2 linked regions of the Macaca fascicularis genome follow. The protein of the gene in region 2 interacts with the protein of the main gene of each other region in a biochemical or structural test. Links are inferred from orthologs where the notes say so. Each region holds a gene or a part of one and is shown on either strand. Other genes may lie near its edges.

The links. The genes of interacting proteins can lie anywhere in the genome.
Region 1: the proteins of TOPBP1 (region 2) and ATRIP form a complex in vitro, tested with the Homo sapiens proteins (2 studies listed by BioGRID). The link is inferred for Macaca fascicularis from reciprocal best matches to the Homo sapiens genes TOPBP1 and ATRIP.

The regions. Positions count from the first base shown.
Region 1 is NC_088376.1:111,419,397-111,429,699, forward strand, and holds part of ATRIP (ATR-interacting protein), read left to right. Parts: intron 1-1,285; coding exon 1,286-1,404; intron 1,405-5,355; coding exon 5,356-5,513; intron 5,514-7,239; coding exon 7,240-7,335; intron 7,336-7,662; coding exon 7,663-7,792; intron 7,793-7,984; coding exon 7,985-8,674; intron 8,675-9,532; coding exon of another isoform or gene 9,533-9,641; exon of another isoform or gene 9,642-10,303. UniProt on the Homo sapiens protein: Required for checkpoint signaling after DNA damage. Required for ATR expression, possibly by stabilizing the protein.
Region 2 is NC_088376.1:36,562,406-36,572,708, reverse strand, and holds part of TOPBP1 (DNA topoisomerase 2-binding protein 1), read left to right. Parts: intron 1-2,014; coding exon 2,015-2,373; intron 2,374-3,016; coding exon 3,017-3,189; intron 3,190-6,276; coding exon 6,277-6,488; intron 6,489-8,306; coding exon 8,307-8,593; intron 8,594-10,303. UniProt on the Homo sapiens protein: Scaffold protein that acts as a key protein-protein adapter in DNA replication and DNA repair. Composed of multiple BRCT domains, which specifically recognize and bind phosphorylated proteins, bringing proteins together into functional combinations.

The DNA of each region.
Region 1 (10,303 bases), about 75 Mb from region 2:
CTTTAAGCACTTACCTGTGCCCAACACTAACCGCAATAGTTAACTTTCTGTATAAGTGATGAAGAGCAAGGAATTTGCAGTCAGACAAACCTGAATTTGAATCCAGGCTTCATCACACTTTAGCGGTGATCTCAAGGTAATAACTTAAGCTCCATGGCTCATTTCCCTTATCTGTTCCAAAACATAACCAGAAAGGTTGTTGGGAGACTCACACGTTCTTGCACTTACTGTGTCTGGTGCTGGGCCTGGCACAGAGTGTGCTTGGGGAATGATGGCAGTTACTGTTGGGTGTGGCACCTACAGGCCAGAGCAGCAGGTGTCTCTATACTGCACAGTGTCTTGGTAAACTATTCCAAATACTCTTCCCAAACTTTGAAGAAGACCTGGAATTGTGCACCATTGCATTGGTTAATAAAGGTCAGTATGTTACTGCTGACATAGAGCCCCTTACCAAGCTCTGTGCTGAGTGTTTTACACTCATCATTCTGCTTAATCCTCCCAACGATGATGAAGACAGGCATTTTATGTTTCAAATAAGCTAGAGTTCAAAGACATTTAGTAAATGGTGGGCTGGTATTTAATTCTTTTTTTAATTTTTTTAATTTTTTTTTTTTTTTTTTTTGAGACGGAGTCTCGCTCTATCGCCCAAACTAGAGTGCAGTGACTGGATCTCAGCTCACTGCAAGCTCCGCCTCCTGGGTTCACGCCATTCTCCTGCCTCAGCCTCCCAAGTAGCTGGGACTACAGGCGCCCGCCACCTCGCCCGGCTAGTTTTTTGTATTTTTTAGTGGAGACGGTGTTTCACCGGGTTAGCCAGGATGGTCTCGATCTCCTGACCTTGTGATCCGCCCATCTCGGCCTCCCAAAGTGCTGGGATTACAGGCTTGAGCCACTGCGCCCGGTCTATTTTTTAAATTTTTTGTAGAGGCAATGTCTTGCTATTTTGCCCAGGCTGGTCTCGAACTCCTAGACTCAAATGATCCTCCTGCCTCAACCTCCCAAAGTGCTTAGGATTACAGGCCTGAGCCACCACACCCAGCCAGGGCTGGTATTTGAACCCTCACAAACTACCCTTATAATAGTTAGAGTCCATTATCTTTTTAGCGCACCATATTGTCTTTCAGAAAGAAAGCTAATGTTTGATATTTTAGGACGTTTATGTCACAGCAGACTTTCATATGTATTTTTTCATTGTTTGTCTTTTACTGGCTTGTGATTTTGAAGCCCAGAGATATTTTTGTGTATATGATGGGGCCACTACAAGCATGTTTCTTTTGCCTTCCAGCTCCAATCATTGCAGTCTGAACTCCAGTTTAAAGATGCAGAGATGAATGAATTAAGGACAAAGCTCCAGACCAGTGAACGCGCAAATAAACTGGCTGCTCCCTCTGTTTCCCATGTCAGGTAATGATGGTGCTGGAGGAGGGATAGTTCAGTTTTGCATTATTTAGTAAACAATCTGCATAACAATGTCAGGCCAGTCCTAAATGAAGGTCATTTAGACCCTGCCACCTGGACAGAGATCCTCTTTTCCTGAAGGATTCAGAGGTGGTGTAGATGAAGCTTGCGTGGTTTGAGACATCACAGCATAAAGGCCCATACTCTAGAAATGCTGCCACTATATGGCACTTTACAAACATAATTCCTCTGGACCAGAAAGACCTGGAAAAACGGACCGGGTGTGGTGGCTCACACCTGTAATCCCAGCACTTTGGGAGGCCAAGGTGGGCGGATCACAAGGTCAGGAGATTGAGACCACGGTGAAACCCTGTCTCTACTAAAAATACAAAATGATTAGCCGGGCATGGTGGCGGGTGCCTGTAGTCCCAGCTACTCAGGAGACTGATGCAGGAGAATGGCATGAACCTGGGAGGCAGAGCTTGCAGTGAGCTGAGATCACGCCACTGCACTCCAGCCTGGGTGACAGAGCGAGACTCTGTCTCAGAAAAAAAAAAAAAAAAGAAAGAAAGACCTGGAGAAATGATCTCCAAATTTTGGGGGTGGGCCAGTCTTTACTTTTATGTAATTTGTTTAACTGATTTTGTTGCAAGCATGAGTGTATTTTAGTTCCAGCTACTTGGAATATTTTTTCTTATTTGCTGTCTGGGGACCCTTGTCCAACAGCCCCATTCTTTGTGGTCAGATGTGCTCAACTTTTTTGTTTTTCTTTTTTTTTGAGACAGAGTCTCACTTTGTCACCCAGGCTGGAGTACAGTGGTACAATCTCAAGCTCACTGCAACCTCCACCTCTTGGGTTCAAAAAATTCTCCCTCAGCCTGAGTAGCTGGGACTACAGGCACACACCACCACGCCCAGCTAATTTTTGTATTTTTAGTAGAGATGAGGTTTCACTATGTTGGCCAGGCTCATCTCAAACTCCTGACCTCGTGATCCACCCTCCTCGGCCTCCCAAGGTGCTGGGATTACAGGCGTGAGCCACTGAGCCCGGCCTTGTTTTGTTTTTATACAGAGGCGGGGTCTCACTATGTTGCTCAAGCTAATCTTGAACTCCTGGGCTCAAGCAATCCTCCCACTTCGGCCTCCTAAAGTGCTGAGTTACAGACATGAGCCGCCGTGCCTGGCCTCAACTTGTTAATGATCTGTCCTGCCCTCTGCCTTACAGAGATGTCTGGCACTGTCAGTATCAGCCTTGAAATTTGCTGTGGTTTTTTGTTGTTGTGGTTGTTGTTTTGAGATGGAGTCTCACTCTGTTAGGCGGGGGTGCAATGGTGTGATCTCGGCTCACTGCAGTCTCCACCTTCCAAATTCAAGTGATTCTCCTGCCTCAGCCTCCCGAGTAGCTGGGATTACAGGCATGCACCACCACACCTGGCTACTTTTTGTATTTTTAGAGATGGGGTTTCATCATGGCCAGGCTGGTCTCGAACTCCTGGACTCAAATGATCTGCCAGCCTGGGCCTCTCAAACTACTGGGATTACAAGCATGAGCCACTGTGCCTGGCCCAGCCTTGAGATTTGAAAAGTGTCAGGGCATCTTCTGGTTTTGAACATTCTGCTGCCTTTGCTCATAATGGGCAGTGTGTGAAACTGAACTCTCCATGCCTTGCATTGTCCACATAAGAGAGCTGAGGGGATCCTCTTCACACATCAGTAACAGAAAGACCTCAGCATTATATGATCAGATCAGAGGGTTAACACTGCTTCTCTAACATAAAGACATTAGCACTGAGAAGTTGCTCAGTTTTCAACATACTTAATAGGTTTATCAAAATTTTGATACTTATTTTGATAACTCTTTTTCTATTTAAAGTCTTTGCATTCTATTGGAAGTTTTTTTTTTGAAACAGAGTCTCGCTCTGTTGCCCAAGTTGGAGTGCAGTGGCATGATCTCAGCTCACTGCAACCTCCACTTCCCAGGTTCAAGTGATTCTCCTGTCTCAGCCTCCCAAGTAGCTGGGATTACAGGCACACACCACCACGCCAGGCTAGTTTTTTTGGGTTTTTTTTGTTTTTTTTTTTGTTTTTTTTTTTTTTTTGAGACAGAGTCTCGCTCTGTCGCCCAGGCTGGAGTGCAGTGGTGCAATCTCGGCTCACTGCAAGCTCCGCCTCCCGGGTTCACGCCATTCTCCTGCCTCAGCCTCCTGAGTAGCTGGGACTACAGGCGCCCGCCACCGCGCCTGGCTAATTTTTTGTATTTTTAGTAGAAACGGGGTTTCACCGTGGTCTCGATCTCCTGACCTTGTGATCCGCCCGCCTCGGCCTCCCAAAGTGCTGGGATTACAGGCGTGAGCCACCGCGCCCGGCATTTTTTGTATTTTTTTTTAAGTAGAGACGGGATATCACCATGTGACATCAGGTGATCCATCCGCCTCAGCCTCCCAAATTACTGGGATTACAGGTGTGAGCCACCACACCCAGCCTGGAAGTCTTGTGACTATTAAAAAATCGTTTGTTCCACATTGGCTGGGAACAGTGACTCACACCTGTAATCCCAACACTTTGGGAGGCTGAGGCGGGCAGATCACTTGAGGTCAGGAGTTCGAGACCAACCTGGCCAACATGGTGAAACCCTGTCTCTACTGAAAATATAAAAATTAGCTGGGCATGGTGGCATGCGCCTGTAATCCCAGCTACCTGGGAGGCTGAGGCAGGAGAATCACTTGAACCTGGAGGCAGAAGTTGCAGTGAGCCAAGATCACACCACTGTACTCCAGCCTGGGCAACAGAACGAGACTCTGTCCCAGAAAAAAAAAAAAAACAGTTTGTTCCACATTGAAAAGATGTTTTGCACCAGGCATGGTAGCTACACAGGCAATCCCAGCTACACAGGAGGCTAAGGCAGGAAGATTGCTTAAGGCTAGGAGTTCGAGACCAGCCTGGGCAACATAGCAAAACCCCACTGCTACTAAAAAAACAATAAAATAAAATTACCGGCCCTGGTGGCTCACGCCTGTAATCCCAGCATTTTAGGAAGCTGAGGTGGGCTGATCATTTGAGCCCATGAGTTCAAGACTAGCCTAGGCAACATGGTGAAACCCAATCTCTAGAAATAACTCTATCTCTAGAAAGAATAAAAAGTTAGCCAGATGTGGTGGTTGCATACCTGTAGTCCCTGTGCTACTCAGAAGGATGAGGTGGGAGGATCACTGAGCCCAAGAGGTCGAGGCCACAGTGAGCCATAATTGTGCCACTGGGCTCCAGCATGGGCAACAGAGTGAGACACTGTCTCACCAAAAAAAAAAAAAAAAAATTATCTGGTCATGTTGGTGTGTGCCTGTAATCCCAGCTACTCAGGAGGCTGGGATTACAGGTGGATGGATCGCTTGAGCCTAGGAGGTCAAGGCTGCAGTGAGCTATGATCATGCTACAGTACTCCAGCCTGGGCAACGGAGCAAGACTCTGTCGCAAAAAAAAAAAAAAGTTTTGGTGGAATTGGAAATAGTGATAATAAAGAATAGTAAAAGAATTTTGGCTAATATTATATTTTTGGATGATTAGAAAAATATAAAAATGAGTAAAAAACTTTTTCAACGATTTGGATCAAAATGCCTGGAATTGGCCAGTAACGGTGGATCATGCCCGTAATCCCAGCACTTTGGGAGAACAAAGTGGGTGGATCACTCAAGCTCAGGAGTTCCAGACCAGCGTGGGTAACTTAGCGAAACCCCATCTCTATAGAGAAATTAAAATTTAAAAATATTTTTAAAAAAGAAAACCAAATGCCTGGAATTTTGCACTGCTCCCCTGACAAAGAATGGTAGACATAATAGATAAAACCTTTGGTTAAAACACCTAGACATGAAAAGTTTAAAGTTTGTTAGAAATTTTGTAACCAGGTATTTTGAATTGTTTTAGTAGAATCATTACTTTGCTTTCATAGTTAACTTTTTCCAGTCCTAGGAAAAACCCTTCTGTGGTTATAAAGCCAGAAGCATGTTCTCCACAATTTGGAAAAACATCTTTTCCTACAAAGGAGTCTTTTAGTGCTAACATGTCCCTTCCCCACCCCTGCCAGACAGAGTCAGGATACAAGCCGCTGGTGGGCAGAGAGGGTAAGTCCATAAGTCATCTATTGCTTTTTAACAAACTACCCAAATTTGTGGCTTAAAACAATTGTTATTTATTTTCTCCCAATTTCTGTGATCAGCAATTCTGACAGGGCACAGTGGGGACAATCTCTGCAGGGACTGGAATCACTGAAAGCTTGTCTTAAGCTGGAGGATCTATTTCAAGATGGCTCACTCACATGACTGGCAGTGTAATTCCTTGCCGCATGGGCCTCTGCACATGGATACGGGGTATCCTTATAACCTGGTGGGTGGCTTCCTCTAAAGCCAGCAAATCCAGAGAGAGAGAGAGCCAGGCAGAAGCTGTCCTTTTGTGGCCTAGCCTCAGAAGTCACACAGCGTCACCTGTGCCACATTCTGTTTGTTAGAAGCAAATCACTGAGTCTGGGCTTCACTCAAGGAGGGGAAATCAAGCTATACCCTTTGAAGGGAGGTGTGTCAAAGCATTTGTGGGCTTTTTTTGTTTGTTTGTTTTTTTGGAGACGGAGTCTCACTCTGTCACCCACCCAGGCTGGAGTGCAATGGCACGATCTCGACTCACTGCAACTTCTGCCTCCCGGGTTCAAGTGATTCTCCAGCCTCAGCCTCCCGAGTAGCTGGGATTACAGGCACCTGCCATCATGGTTGTGGGTATATTTTTAAACCATCAGTAGTATGCAGGAACCTGTTTTTCTTTTCTTTTTTTTTTTTTTCTTTGAGGTGGAGTCTCACTCTGTCACCAGGCTGGAGTGCAGTGACGTGATCTCGGCTCACTGCAACCTCTGCCTCCCAGGTTCAAGTGATTCTTCTGCCTCAGCCTCCCGAGTAGCTGGGACTAGGTGCACACCACCATGCCCAGCTAATTTCTGTATTTTTAGTAGAGATGGGTTTCACCATGTTGGCGTGGATGGTCTCAATTTCATGACCTCATGATCCACCTACCTCAGCCTCCCAAAGTGCTGGGATTACAGGCATGAGCCACCGTGCCCAGCCTCTGTTTTCCTTTTGTAGTCCAGCTTTTGAGTTTTTATAACTCAGTCCAGGTTGAGGGGATGCTGCTGTTTTTTTGAGAGAGACAATCTAACATCAGTAGGTTTTCAGACTGCTATGTCAATGTATCTTATAAATCAGATACATTGACCCTCTTTTTACCATCAACCTTTCAAATCCTTGGCCATTACACACTTCTGAGAAACTGCAGCCCACTTACATTTTTGGAATCTAGCAGCTAAAGTGGCAGTGTACAGTAGTGTTACAAGCAGGCAGTAGAGCCCAATAGCCTGGATGTGAGTCCCAGTAATGCTACTTACTGGCTTATGTAATTTGGGCAAGTCCTTTAGTCTCTGTGCCTCAGTTTCCCTATATGTAAAACAGAGCTAATGATAACTACTTGTAGGGTCACTGAGGAACAAATGGGCTGATGTGTGTAAAGCTCTTAGAACAGTGTCTAGCACATAACAAGCACCATGTCAATGTTAGTGGTTACTGTTTTATCTAATTGCCTCATTTTGAGTGAGGCAAACAGCTTGATTTTCTTTTCCTTTCCTTGTATGAGTTCCTGTTTTACATAAGAAAGGTAAAAAATGCAGGGCTTTTGAGCTGCTTTGGCTCTTGTTTGATCCAAGGTGGAAGAAGTAGAACAGCCTGTGTTTTAAACTCATTGCATGTAAAAGTTTCTAATATGCCCATGCTTTTGTGCTCAAGTTTTGATTTACATTTTATCACATTTCAGATAGTAAGACCCACAGTCTGAGAGGTGACTCCATAAAACAAGAAGAGGCCCAGAAAAGCTTTGTTGACAGCTGGAGACAGAGATCAAACACTCAAGGTACCAGAATCCCTGCTTCTGCAGGGGCCTGCATGGCTCTGAGTGATATGCAGAAGAATTGCCCAGGCCTCTGAGAACCGGCGCCCTGGGCAGTCCTTCAGGGAGTCCAGGGAAGTCAAAGTATGTGGCTTAAGCAGAAGACTTTATAAAGTGGAAAGGGCCAAAGGCAGGTATGTCCCAGAGCCTTCCGCACCCACAGGCATCTACCTGGGGCTTAGTGGCAACTTAGAGGACAGTTGGCATCCAAAGAGTCCTTACTGTTTCCTTCTGAGGCCACAGAAAAGATCTCCCATGTCAGAACCTTCTAGAGTCACCTTGTCTTCACAGGTTCCATTTTGATAAACCTGCTCCTGAAGCAGCCTTTGATCCCAGGGTCATCCCTAAGCCTGTGCCACCTCCTGAGTAGTAGTTCTGAGTCTCCTGCTGGCACCCCCCTGCAGCCACCAGGGTTTGGCAGGTAAGCATAAGACTCCTGGAAAGCTTGTTTGGGAAGGAGCTTCCTGGAAGCAAATTCCTTTCTGGTCCTAGCCAGCCTGGGAAGTCTGTGGGAAGGGCAGGGAGCCTGGAGAATTTGGCAGGCAAGCTGTTTGGGGCCCTTGACCTTATCTCCATCCCACACTTACCTATTTTTCTTTGTGTTTGTTGCCAGTACCTTGGCTGGAATGTCAGGCCTCAGGACCACAGGTTCTCAGGATGGGTCATTTTCCCTCTCAGCCCTGAGAGAAGCACAGAACCTGGCATTCACTGGACTGAATCTGGTTGCCAGGAATGAGTGCTCACGTGATGGAGACCCAGCAGAGGGAGGCAGAAGGGCCTTCCCACTCTGCCAGCTTCCTGGAGCCGTGCATTTCCTCCCCCTTGTACAGTTCTTCATCGGCTTACACTGCCAGGCCCTGCAGGACTTGGCAGCTGCTAAGAGAAGTGGAGCACCTGGGGACTCACCGACACATTCCTCCCGCGTGAGCTCTGGGGTAGAGACCAACCCTGAGGACTCAGTGTGCATCCTGGAAGGCTTCTCTGTGACTGCACTTAGCATTCTTCAGCACCTGGTGTGCCACAGCGGAGCAGTGGTCTCCCTATTACTGTCACGAGTTGGGGCAGATTCTGCTGCTGGGGAAGGAAATGGGAGCCTGGTTCACAGGTTTAGTGATGGAGATATGACCTCAGCCCCAAGGGGGGTTGCTGATGACCAAGGACAGCACCCACTGTTGAAGATGCTTCTTCACCTGTTGGCTTTCTCTTCTGCAGCAACAGGTCACCTTCAAGCCAGTGTCCTGACCCAGTGCCTTAAGGTTTTGGTGAAATTAGCCGAAAACACTTCCTCTGATTTCTTGCCCAGGTATAAAGCAGCATAGGAGTCATGATTCTTTGTGGGTCTCACCTGACCTGTTAAGGTCTAACCCGTGTCTCTTGTACTTTGCTCACATCTTGACTTATCTACACTAGTTAGTTCTAAGGCCTGGTTCAGGGAGTTCTGAAGTGATGGGAAGTGGGACCAAATGGGAGAACCAAGGAAGTGGTTTATTTGGTTTTTTTTTTTTTTTGAGACGGAGTCTTGCTCTGTAGCCCGGGCTGGAGTGCAGTGGCCGGATCTCAGCTCACTGCAAGCTCCGCCTCCCGGGTTTAGGCCATTCTCCTGCCTCAGCCTCCGGAGTAGCTGGGACTACAGGCGCCCGCCACCTCGCCCGGCTAGTTTTTTATATTTTTAGTAGAGACGGGGTTTCACAGTGTTAGCCAGGATGGTCTCGATCTCCTGACCTCGTGATCCGCCCGTCTCGGCCTCCCAAAGTGCTGGGATTACAGGCTTGAGCCACCGCGCCCGGCCGTTTATTTGGTTTAATTCTGCCTCTGAACAACAGGTAAGCAGAAGGCACACATGATTAAAGGAGGCTGCTAACCTCTGTGGAGGAGGGCCCTGTCCCAGAACAAGGGCTAAGACAAGGGGCCTCTGAACCTGAGATGTGGGTAAGGTGAAGACCATATATCACAAGCACGTTGAAGTTTAGTGGGTTCCCTAAGGAAGCAGAGGATGTGGGGAGGATCTGCAGGCTGACCTTGCTGGAGTCTCTGCCTGTCATTGTGCCCATCTTTAGCATGCATCTGGGGTGGCATGTTCCTCTTATGGTTTGTGGGTAGTAGTATTACAGTGAACCTAGCGAATGAACACTGATCATAAATTCCTCCCTTGGGATTCCAGAGCCACAAGACTGGGGAGAACTGTGAACACAGCCAGCCCATCCCCTCATCCAGTAATCCAGTCTCCCTCTCAGCACTCTACCAAAGGGCCAGTTTCTATGTTGGAATGATTCCACTGGCTGAATGTATCTGAAACCATCTCATCTCTGAGCTCAGCACTGCTGTTTCCTGATCTGTTTCCATCTGAATATTTTTGGTTGGTCTGGCCCATGCTAAAGGTGGTACTCAGAGCTGGACACAGCACCGCAGTATAGTGTAGGCAGTGGGATCAGGCAGACCCAGCACTCAAGTGCCCAGCAGGGGCCCAGCTCATAGTGGCTGTTTTGTTTGTTTATTTTTGGTTTTGTTTTGAGACGAAGTTTCACTCTTGTTGCCCAGGTTGGAGTGCAATGGTGTAATCTCGGCTCACTGCAACCTCCATCTCCCAGGTTCAAGCAGTTGTCCTGCCTCAGCTTCCTGAGAAGCTGGGATTACAGGTGCCTGCCACCACGCCCGGCTAATTTTTGTATTTTTAGTAGAGACAGGGTTTCACCATGCTGGCCAGGCTGGTCTCAAATGCCTGACCTCAGGTGATCCACCCACCTTGGCCTCCCAAAGTGCTGGGATTATAGGTGTGAGCCACTGGGCCCAGCCTTGGTTATTTGTTTAATAATTGTTAAATGAATGAATCCCAGGCTGGGCACAGTGGCTCCTGCCTGTAATCTCAGCACTTTTGGAGGCCAAGGTGGGAGGATCACTTAAGCCCAGGAGTTTGAGACCAGCATGGGCAACA
Region 2 (10,303 bases):
GCCACCACACCCAGCTAGCGATTTTATATACTATCCTTCAGACAAGGGTACTTGGTGTAGGGCAGGTGATTAGTTTCTTAAACCTTCCTTTCTAAGGCTGCTAGTGGTTTACTGACTTTGTAAGGATTAAGTGATAGTAAATCTCAGTGGATCACCAAGCATCTGAGAAAATCTATAGTAAAATATTTTATAATTAATTCTTAGAATTGCTTTTGATTTAAGGGAGTTTTTTTTTTTTTTTTTTTTTTTTTTTGAGATGGAGTCTCGCTGTGTCACCAGGCTGGAGTGCAGTGGCATGGTCGTGGCTCACTGCAACCTCCACCTCCTGGATTTAAGCGATTCTCCTGCCTCAGCCTCCCAAGTAGCTGGGATTACAAGCACACGCCACCATGCTCAGCTGATTTTTGTATTTTTAGTAGAGATGGGGTTTCACCATGTTTGCCAGGCTGGTCTCAAACTCCTGACCTTGTGATCCTTCTGCCTCGGCCTCCTGAAGTGCTCGGATTACAGGCCTGAGCCACCGCGCCCGGCCCTAGGGGAGCTTTTTGAATAATAGGTTTGTTACGTAGTATCTCTTAGGCTTTTGGATGCGATCTGTTTGAAAAGAGATCCTACTGCTAAAATAAATGGAAAGAACTGCTGTAAAACATGTTAGTTTGTTATGAGTCTCTTAACTTCAGAGTTTTACTGATGGTTTATTAAGAACTTAGTATTTCTACTTTGTTTTTATAGTAGTAGTCTAAAATTCTACGGAATTTCTTCCTCCTTCCCATCTTACCAACAACATGTAGACATCGAACAAAGTTTTTTTTTCCCCTAGATGTGACTGCAAAATAATTGTACTTGCAAAAAATAAAAAGGGTTTCACTTATAAAACAAACTGTTTGCATTTTAACAAAACCGTTAAAAGAACTTTCCGGAATGTTTTATAGTATTGCGTCACCTTTAATTCCATCTAAGCATATTCATTCTCATGAGTATATCTATAAATTGTAAGTATACTATTGTCTTTTATTCCTTGTATTATGAAACCAAGGGTCAAAGAGGCTATAAAACTAGAACCCATCTCTCCTGACTTACTGATCAGTAAACTCTGTAGACAAAACTATGCTTCCTCAGTGTGAATAAGAAGAATTTTAATACTTATGTTTAGTAGGAGTCATAAGTTCCTAATATATATTGCAATGTACTTAATTTACAAGTTCCTAATATATATTACAATTTACTTAAAAATGAAAATGCTAGTGTCTCTTGGAGATGAGGATAGAAGTACGAAGATGGCACTATAACCTGGTGTTATGAACTCTGGAGTCAGACAGACTTTGGTTCGTATCTCATTTCTGCCACTTAACTGTGTGACCTTAGGCAAGTTACATAACCTTTTCAAGCCTGAGACTCCTTTTGGACAGAAGGGATGTGCTGATAGTATCAGCCTCACAGTTAGCATTATGTGAGCATTACATGCATGTAAAGCAGTTAGTCACAGTGCTTATATAAATGATAGAGTGATTCTTGAATAGCTTCCAGCCTTGTTGGAATCACGTGGCAGGGTAAACTTTTTCTCTAAAGGAGTAGACAATAAATATTTTAGGATTTGCCAGCCACTTCCTTATAGTCATTTCCATATTAACATGTTCCATGTTAAGGGCTTGACAGTTACACCATTTAGACTTGTTGATTTTTTTCTTAATGGTATTTTGTTAGTTTTGTGGTGAATCATCTAAACCAGTTTCGGAACTAAGACAGTCCTGTAGGAGCTATATAATTTTAAACGAATTCAAGTGTCTATTATACTAGGCATACCTAGGACTAACATGATTGCTCTTGTCCTTCCTAATGGACTCTTGGTAACCCCGAAGACGGAGTGAATCCATATCCCTTTATTATACACGTAAGCTTTAGTTTTATAAGTATGGTCAAAATTCTCAGATTCCATGTTACATTAAAATCCTTGCTAGAAATGAACTTTATAGGGTAAATTGTTGGTTAGAAAACATGTACTTTTCTCTTTCAGTGGAGGCTAAGACGTCTGAAGCCGAGAAGTCTGAAGTTAGGCCCTTTAATAATTCTACCCGTGCTGAGCCCTTGAATGATTCTACTCACGTTTCTTTGCAAGAAGAAAACCAGTCTTCTGTCAGTCATTGCGTCCCTGATGTTTCTACAATTACTGAAGAAGGCTTATTTAGCCAAAAGAGTTTCCTTGTTTTGGGTTTTAGTAATGAAAATGAATCTAACATTGCAAGCATCATCAAAGAAAATGCTGGGAAAATCATGTCCCTTCTGAGCAGAACTGTTGCCGATTATGCTGTGGTTCCTCTGCTGGGGTGTGAAGTAGAAGCCACTGTGGGAGAAGTTGTTACAAACACGTGGCTGGTAAGACAACACTGTAGTGGTTGCAATAAAGTATTGAAGATTATCTGAGTGCCAAGAAGGTTAATGTTTGTTTCTTAGGCAGTTCAGTTACAGTAAATCGGTGTTTGGATTTGAACACTCTTGATTTTACTTTTAGCAAGGGAAATTCTAAAGTTAAATGTGCAAGTTTCTTGGGCCTAATCCTAATACGGTAGAGGTTACTCTTTCCCAGAGGCCACAGCAGCAACATTCCTTCTTAGGAGGTCACTATAGGGTCATCTCATACTGTTTGTCCTGTTTTCTTACAACCGAAGCATCACGGGTAATTTCACTGTTGATTTTTTTTTTTTAACGTTCCAAGAATTATGAGAAAAATAGTGTAATACATTGGAAGGAATGAAATGTAAAGCAACATTCAATAACTCCAATGATAGATCTTACTGATTGTAATAGCCTAATGTAATCAGTCGATGTATGCATATGTGTGTATGTATATGTATATTTTAACGTTATGATATGAAATGTATTGAGAATGAGCATACACAGGTTTGTATTAAAGTAAAACTTCTTATCAAAACTGAATTATTGCTCATGTGCCTGAATGAGTGTTAACCACTGGCTGCTTATTTCAGGTTGGCTTTACTGTTTCTCTTGTTTTTAAAAGGTTACTTGCATAGACTTTCAGACTTTGTTTGATCCAAAGTCGAATCCTCTCTTCACACCAGTCCCAGTAATGACAGGAATGACTCCTTTAGAGGATTGTGTTATTTCATTTAGCCAGTGTGCTGGAGCAGAAAAAGAGTCTTTAACATTCCTAGCAAACCTCCTTGGAGCAAGGTATGTGATCTTTTTAATGCACCTGTTGTGTTGGTGTATCTTTTTATTTATTTTGACTTCTTGGAGAGCATTCAAATTAGAATTTGGTTGGGTGTCTTTATTATATTTATGAATGTTATATAGTTCCTTCTCCCCTCCCACTGCTTCACTTGACTAGCCTTAAAAAAAAAAGTACCTCCATTGTCCAAAGATGAAGACTTAGGTATCATAAGAGATAATAACTGCAGTGGATCCAAATACATGAAATAGTGTTTAAGTCGTGACTTCATAATGACACCAAATAAACTAAGGTAATTGATGATCTTTGAAAGATGCTAGGGGACCAGTCTATTACTTTGAAAGCTGACAAAAGGAAAGGATCAAGTAATTTAACCTGCATTTCCTGTGCAGTTTGCATCAGGGTAACATGATAGTGGATATGGCAAAGTTTCCATTTTTAAAGATGTTTCAACAAACAAACAAACAAAGAATGATAAGATTGTAACCCCTAATGAATGAAAGAATCTAGGCATTGAACATCAATAGTTAATCACACAATAAAGGGACAAGATATGATGTGCCTTCTTATGAAGAATACACCACCACTTTGAAGTAGTCTTGCCAAAATAATCAAACCTCAATCTGATGATGCTTCTAGATCCAATTCCCAATTTATAGGAAATGCAAACAGCAGAATAACACGTTAAACTACACCACAATGATATAATCAGCAAGACCCAGACTTTGGTACAACTCTATGGCATAAATGATCCAGTGTCTTCAACGAATGTATATTAAGGGCATGGAAAAGAAGGTAGGAACCTATAAGCTAAAAGACATGAAAAAGCAAAAGCCTAAATATAGTCTTTAAAGATGCCATTATTTGATTATAGAAAAGTAAAGAAGTGATTACTGTAAGTGTCCAAATAGACTGAGCACAGTGGCTCATACCTGTAATCCCAGCACTTTGGGAGGCCAAAAGATTGCTTGAGCTCAGGAGTTTAAGACCAGCCTGGACAACATAGTGAGACCTCATCTCTATTTAAAAAATAATTTTAAAAAAATGAGCCAGGCATGGTGGCATGTGCTTATGGTCCCAACTACTCGGGAGGCTAAGGCAGGAGGATTGCTTGAGCCCAGGAGACCAGGGCTGCAGTGAGCTATGATCACACAACTATACTTCAGCCAGGGCAACAAAATGAAACCCCGTCTCCAAAAAAAAAAAGCCCAAATAGTGGCTACTATTAAGAAGGGAGGCAACGGAGGTTGTATGGCATGTTGGAGAGGTTCTGGGGTGGTTAGCGAGATTCTGTCTTCTGACATGGGTGGTGGACTTAAGGGTTTCACCTTATAATAATTCATTGAGCTGTATATTTCCTTTTTTGCTGTTTTCTGTTTGAATTATATGAAACAAAAAAATTCTTTTAAAACCGAAATTGTGGAAGATAATAACATACATGACAACAGACTCCACTGGATGCAACTAAAGCTGCATTCAGCAGGAAAGTCATGCAAATTCTGAAATAGAATAATTGGGACTAGCCCTAACAGTTATTAAAATACATTTTGTGGCCAGGTGTGGTGGCTCATGCCTGTAATCCTAGCACTTTGAGAGGCTGTGGCAGGAGGCCAAGTTCAAGACCAGCCTGGGCAATATACTAAGACTCTGTCTTTAAAAAAAATTTTTAAAATGAGCCAGGCAGTGTAGCATAAATCTGTAGTCTCAGTTATTTGGGAGGCTGAGGTGGGAGTATTGTTTGAGCTTGGGAGGTCAAGACTGCAGTGAGTCACAATGGCGCCACTGTACTCTAGCCTGGAGGACAGAGCAAGACCCTGTCTCAGAAAACAAACAAACATATATTTTGTGAAACTTCACTAAATAACAGTGTAGTTGCGTGTAGCAGAAAGTTTAATTCAGGGACAGCAAGAGTGGCAGGAGACTCAAATACACAAAGGAATTTACGATAAAAGTGACATTTCAAATTATTAAGGAAGACATGGCTTATTCAATAAATAGGATTCATTAAAGCTGGAGCAATATCTCATATCTAAATAAGTACTGAATGGATTAGTGGGTTAAATATAAAAAATGAAGTTATAAAAGTACTAGGATAAACACATAACATAGAAAAAAAGTGTCAGGAAACATGGGAAATTAAAAAATCTGAAAAGTTGGGAACTGGAACGTAAAACCCAGAAGTCATAAAAGAAATCATGGAATTCGGTTCACTCCCAAGTCATAGACTTCTTTTTCTGCCCTGTATTCTCTGTGTGTAATATCCTGTGATCTTGAGGCATTTAATTTCTCTCTATTTTTTCCCATATCGATACTTAAATATTGAGAGGATCAAATGAGATAATATGTAGAAATGCTTTGGAAAGTTGTAGTAGGTTAAAAAATAATAATAATGTGTTATTTATACACTTTGCTCCTGTCACTTCTTCCTTGCCTTCTTTTGGGGGGAAAGGACAAAGTGTGGGGGTGATAACTAATTTAGGAGGTAATTTTGGCTGTGTGAGGTGGTTCACGCCTGTAATCCCAACTTTAGGAGGCTGAAGCAGGAGGATCACTTGAGCTCAGGAGTTTGAGACCAGGCTAGGCAACATGGTGAAACCCCATCTCTACAAAAAATACAAAAATTAGCCAGATGTGGTGGTTAGGAACTACACCTGTAGTCCTAGCTACTGGGGAGGCTGAGGTGGGAGGATAGCTTGAGCCTGGGAAGTGGAGGTTGCAGTGAGCTGTGATTGTGCCACTGCACTCCAGTCTGGACAACATACCAAGACAAGACCCTGTCTCAAAAGGAAGTAATTTTGCTGTCGGTTCTTTGTATGTCTAATTATGCATAATTGTCTAATTGTCTGAAAACATAATACGTCTAATTATGTTTTTATAAAAAATTTGTTACAGCAATACATTTTTACCCTAGAGTAAGCATTTGTAAGGGGATTAGCTTAATTTCAGATAGAATAAACCAACTTTTAATCAGTATTTTTTTTATACTTACATGATCTCTAATCACACTGTTGTGTTGGAAATGTTGTTCTTAAGTGTTGCGGGTGAATTGTATATGTGACCATTTCCACTTCTTTAAATATAAATTTCAGTGTTCAAGAATACTTTGTTCGCAAATCCAATGCAAAGAAAGGCATGTTTGCCAGTACTCATCTTATATTGAAGGAACCTGGTGGCTCTAAATATGAAGCTGCAAAGAAGTGGAATTTACCTGCAGTTACTATAGCTTGGCTGTTGGAGACTGCTAGAACGGGAAAGAGAGCAGACGAAAGCCATTTTCTGATTGAAAATTCGTCTGAAGAAGGTTAATACTTTTATTCTGTTATTTTATATATATTTACAACTGGATGGTTTCTGGGATATAAACGTGCCAATGCTTGTGTTTAGAAAAGGTCATTGATTTTCGCTTTTCACATTGGGTGCAGTGAGGGTCTCAGTGTTTGAAGTCTAAAGATGTAAGCCTGGCTCCTATTTATTGTTGATTCCTTCGATGGCTCACAGTAACATACCATGTAATTAATGTGCTCTCTCTCCTCTTATCTTTGGGCTTCTGCATGTTTCCTGTAGACCACCTCACAGTTGCCAGCTCTTCCTTCTTATCTTTCAGTTCTCAGCTAAGATACCACTTTCACTGGGAAGCCTTTCTTTTTTTTTTCTTTTTTTTTTTTAATTATTATTATACTTTAAGTTCTAGGGTGCTTTTGCACAACATGCGGGTTTGTTACATATATACATGTGCCATGGTGGTTTGCTGCACCCATTAATTCGTCATTTACATTAGGTATTTCTCCTAATGCTATCTCTCCCCCACCCCCGTACCCCACAACAGGCCCCGGTGTGTGACGTTCCCCGCCCTGTGTCCAAGTGTTCTCATTGTTCAATTCCCACCTATGAGTGTGAACACGCGGTGTTTGATTTTCTGTCTTGTGATAGTTTGCTCAGAATGATGGTTTCCAGCTTCATCCATGTCCCTACAAAGGACATGAATTCGTCCTTTTATATGGCTGCATAGTATTCCATGGTGTATATGTGCCACATTTTCTTAATCCAAATCCAATCTATCATTGATGGACATTTGGGTTGGTTCCAAGTCTTTGCTATTGTGAATAGTGCCACAATAAACATACGTGTACATGTGTCTTTATAGTAGCATGATTTATAATCCTTTGGTTATATACCCAGTAATGGGATCACTGAGTCAAATGGTATTTCTAGTTCTAGATCCTTGAGGAATCGCCACACTGTCTTGGGAAGCCTTTCTTGACTCACTAAGTATGGCCTTTTGTCTTGGTGTAATGTTTTGTTTCACCATGACACTCTGTATCATCCCTTTTATCTCTTACCTCGGTGTTATAATGGTGGTTTATTTTGTGTCTCCCTGCTAAATTATAAGTTCCAGAAAGGCAGTGAACATGCATGTCTTGTGAATTCTGTATTTCCCGTGTCTAACACTAGGCCTGGCATGGAGTAGCTATCTAATAAGTTTTTTTGTTAAATGTTGAAAACAGGTGGAAGGCAGAGGTGGAAGAATACAGTACCCTCTCTTGTAAGATAATAGCATTCCTGGGCAAACTTCAGGGGCATATCAGCAGCTTGGGAACACCTCTCAGAGTCATTACTTATTTTGCCAGACAGACTGGTAATTTTATGACTGAGGCTAAGTGATGTTTAGGTCGTATTAAAATTTGATTAAGGGCTTTCCAAAACTTTACTGTAGTTAACTCTGAGTAATTCAGATTTTCTTTGTAGCCTGTCATTGACTAGAAAGACATTCACTGATACAATTTTTGGCAAATAGGCTTATTGAGACATAGCAAGATGAAACAGGAAATCTATTTTTAGTTTTTCAGTTAATGTGCTTGTCTAACTCAACATATATTTAATGCATAATCTGGTTTGTTTCTTGGAAAGTGGGTATATAATTTTGTCATTTAAAGTGTACTAAGAATTGACATGAAAACTAACAGTTAGATTGGGATGACAAGGTAGATGGATCACTTGAGCCCAAGAGTTATGCAAGAAAGAAAGGAAATAAAACAGATGTAAAACATTACTTCTTGTGTACTGGAAAAAAGTGGGCATTAGTGGCTCATATTTGTTTCTTTTCATTTTAAATCTCTAGAACGAAGTTTGGAAACAGAAATAACAAATGGAATCAATCTAAATTCAGATACTGCAGAGCATCCTGGCACACGCCTGCAAACTCACAGAAAAACCGTCATTACACCTTTAGATATGAATCGCTTTCAGAGTAAAGCTTTCCGTGCTGTGGTCTCACAACATGCCAGACAGGTTTCAGCCTCCCCAGCAGTAGGACAACCACTTCAGAAGGAGCCCTCACTACACCTGGATACACCATCAAAATTCCTGTCCAAGGACAAACTCTTCAAGCCTTCCTTTGATGTGAAGGTAAGCTTTATAGGCAATGGTCCCAGAGTTAACAGTTTTACCGTTTATAAAGTTAAAGCACCAAATTCAGCATCACCTCTAAAGTGTAGTAGTAAATTTTCCAGAGACATTGGCAAGTAGATTTTTGTTATTGCGTTTGAATGTTTTGAGTCCCAAAATACATTTAGGGTTAAGGTAAGAGCTATAGATAAATATGGTATGAAATTAGGACATCTGGGTTCAAGTACTAGATCAATCTTGAACTGTATGACTAGGCCGATCATTTAACATACCTGAGCTTCAGTTTGTTTCTTCATACAAAGAAGATAATATTTGCTCTGAAAATTCATAGATTATAAACATCAAATGATGAAATCACTTTATAAACTATAAAATGTAAACACACTGCTACTTTATATGTTGGTTCTCAGAGTACAGCCACGATTTGCCTTCTGAAAATGTGTGTGTATCACCTTACTTGAATTGTTTCCTGTAAAGACATGAGTTAAGTCTGTGTTTTAGTTTGATCTCCTGAGCAGTATAGTATGGCTCCCTTTCTGAAAAATTTGTTTGCAAATCAGGGGCTAATAAAATCTTCCATATGATTTTCTTTTATTTTCCAAAGCTGATTTTCATCACTATTTCTTTAGTAGCTTTTGACGTCTTAAGTGGCTGTTCAAACCGTTGTCTATGATTTCTTTATCTACAAACCTTTGCAGAATTATTTTACTCATTTGTCTGTTGATATTTTTGCTTGTAGGGTATTTAGAAGCAATATTTTAATAATTTTTATTAGTGTGTTTTGGAGCAGACTTACTAAAAAGTTTACAGATTATTCATATTCAGAAAATAAATATTAACTGATATCCAGGACAATTTTCCCCAAGCTAATTTATGTCTTTATTTTTGGTGAGAATTCCAGTGACCCACATGAAAAAAAAAGTCTTTACTATTAAACTCAAAATTCTAAGTTTTCACATGAAATCTCTTCTGAGGTAACATTTTGTACTGTGATTAATACTCAGGTCCATATCCTTTAAGAAATAAAGGAAAATCAGTCTTGGGAACTGTGAGGTGTAGGATCAAGTCTCTTCTTTGTCCCCTACTGCCTTTTAAAAGCAAGTCAACCTCTTTCGGCTTCATTATTCTCATCTGTAAAATCCAGATGATCTCTGAAGTCTCATAACTCACAGACTCTCCGAAGAGCAAATGTAATAATATTAGTAGGCAAGAAAACAGTAGAAATATTTTCAGTCATCGAGACCATTCTTATGTAGATACTTTGCAATAAAAGTTTTGCAGTGGAAAGCTGATAGTTCTGAATAGCGTGAGTACAAAAAACACATTTAAAGATTTTATTGTTTAGAGTCATAATATTGAGCAGTGTTTTTTCTCCTTTTTCTTTCTTTTTTGATGGCACATAAATAATGCTTCATCTTATAATCAGTGGTTCTTCAAACTGATATAATATGGTATATTGAATTATTTACTCAAAACATGAAAGGGCCTATGGAATAATCACAAAATTGACCATCTCTTAGGCCTCACCTTCCCTCCCCACCAAAAAATTCACCTCTTATTTAAAGTTAATTTTTAATTAATATACATCAGAGCAGTCCAGTAAGTATACTGCTAATGAATTATCAGGGTTAATCATTGGGAAGCCACTATACACGTTCAGATAGAGACCATGGTCAGCACTGTAAACACTTCCTTGTGGCTCCATCACTG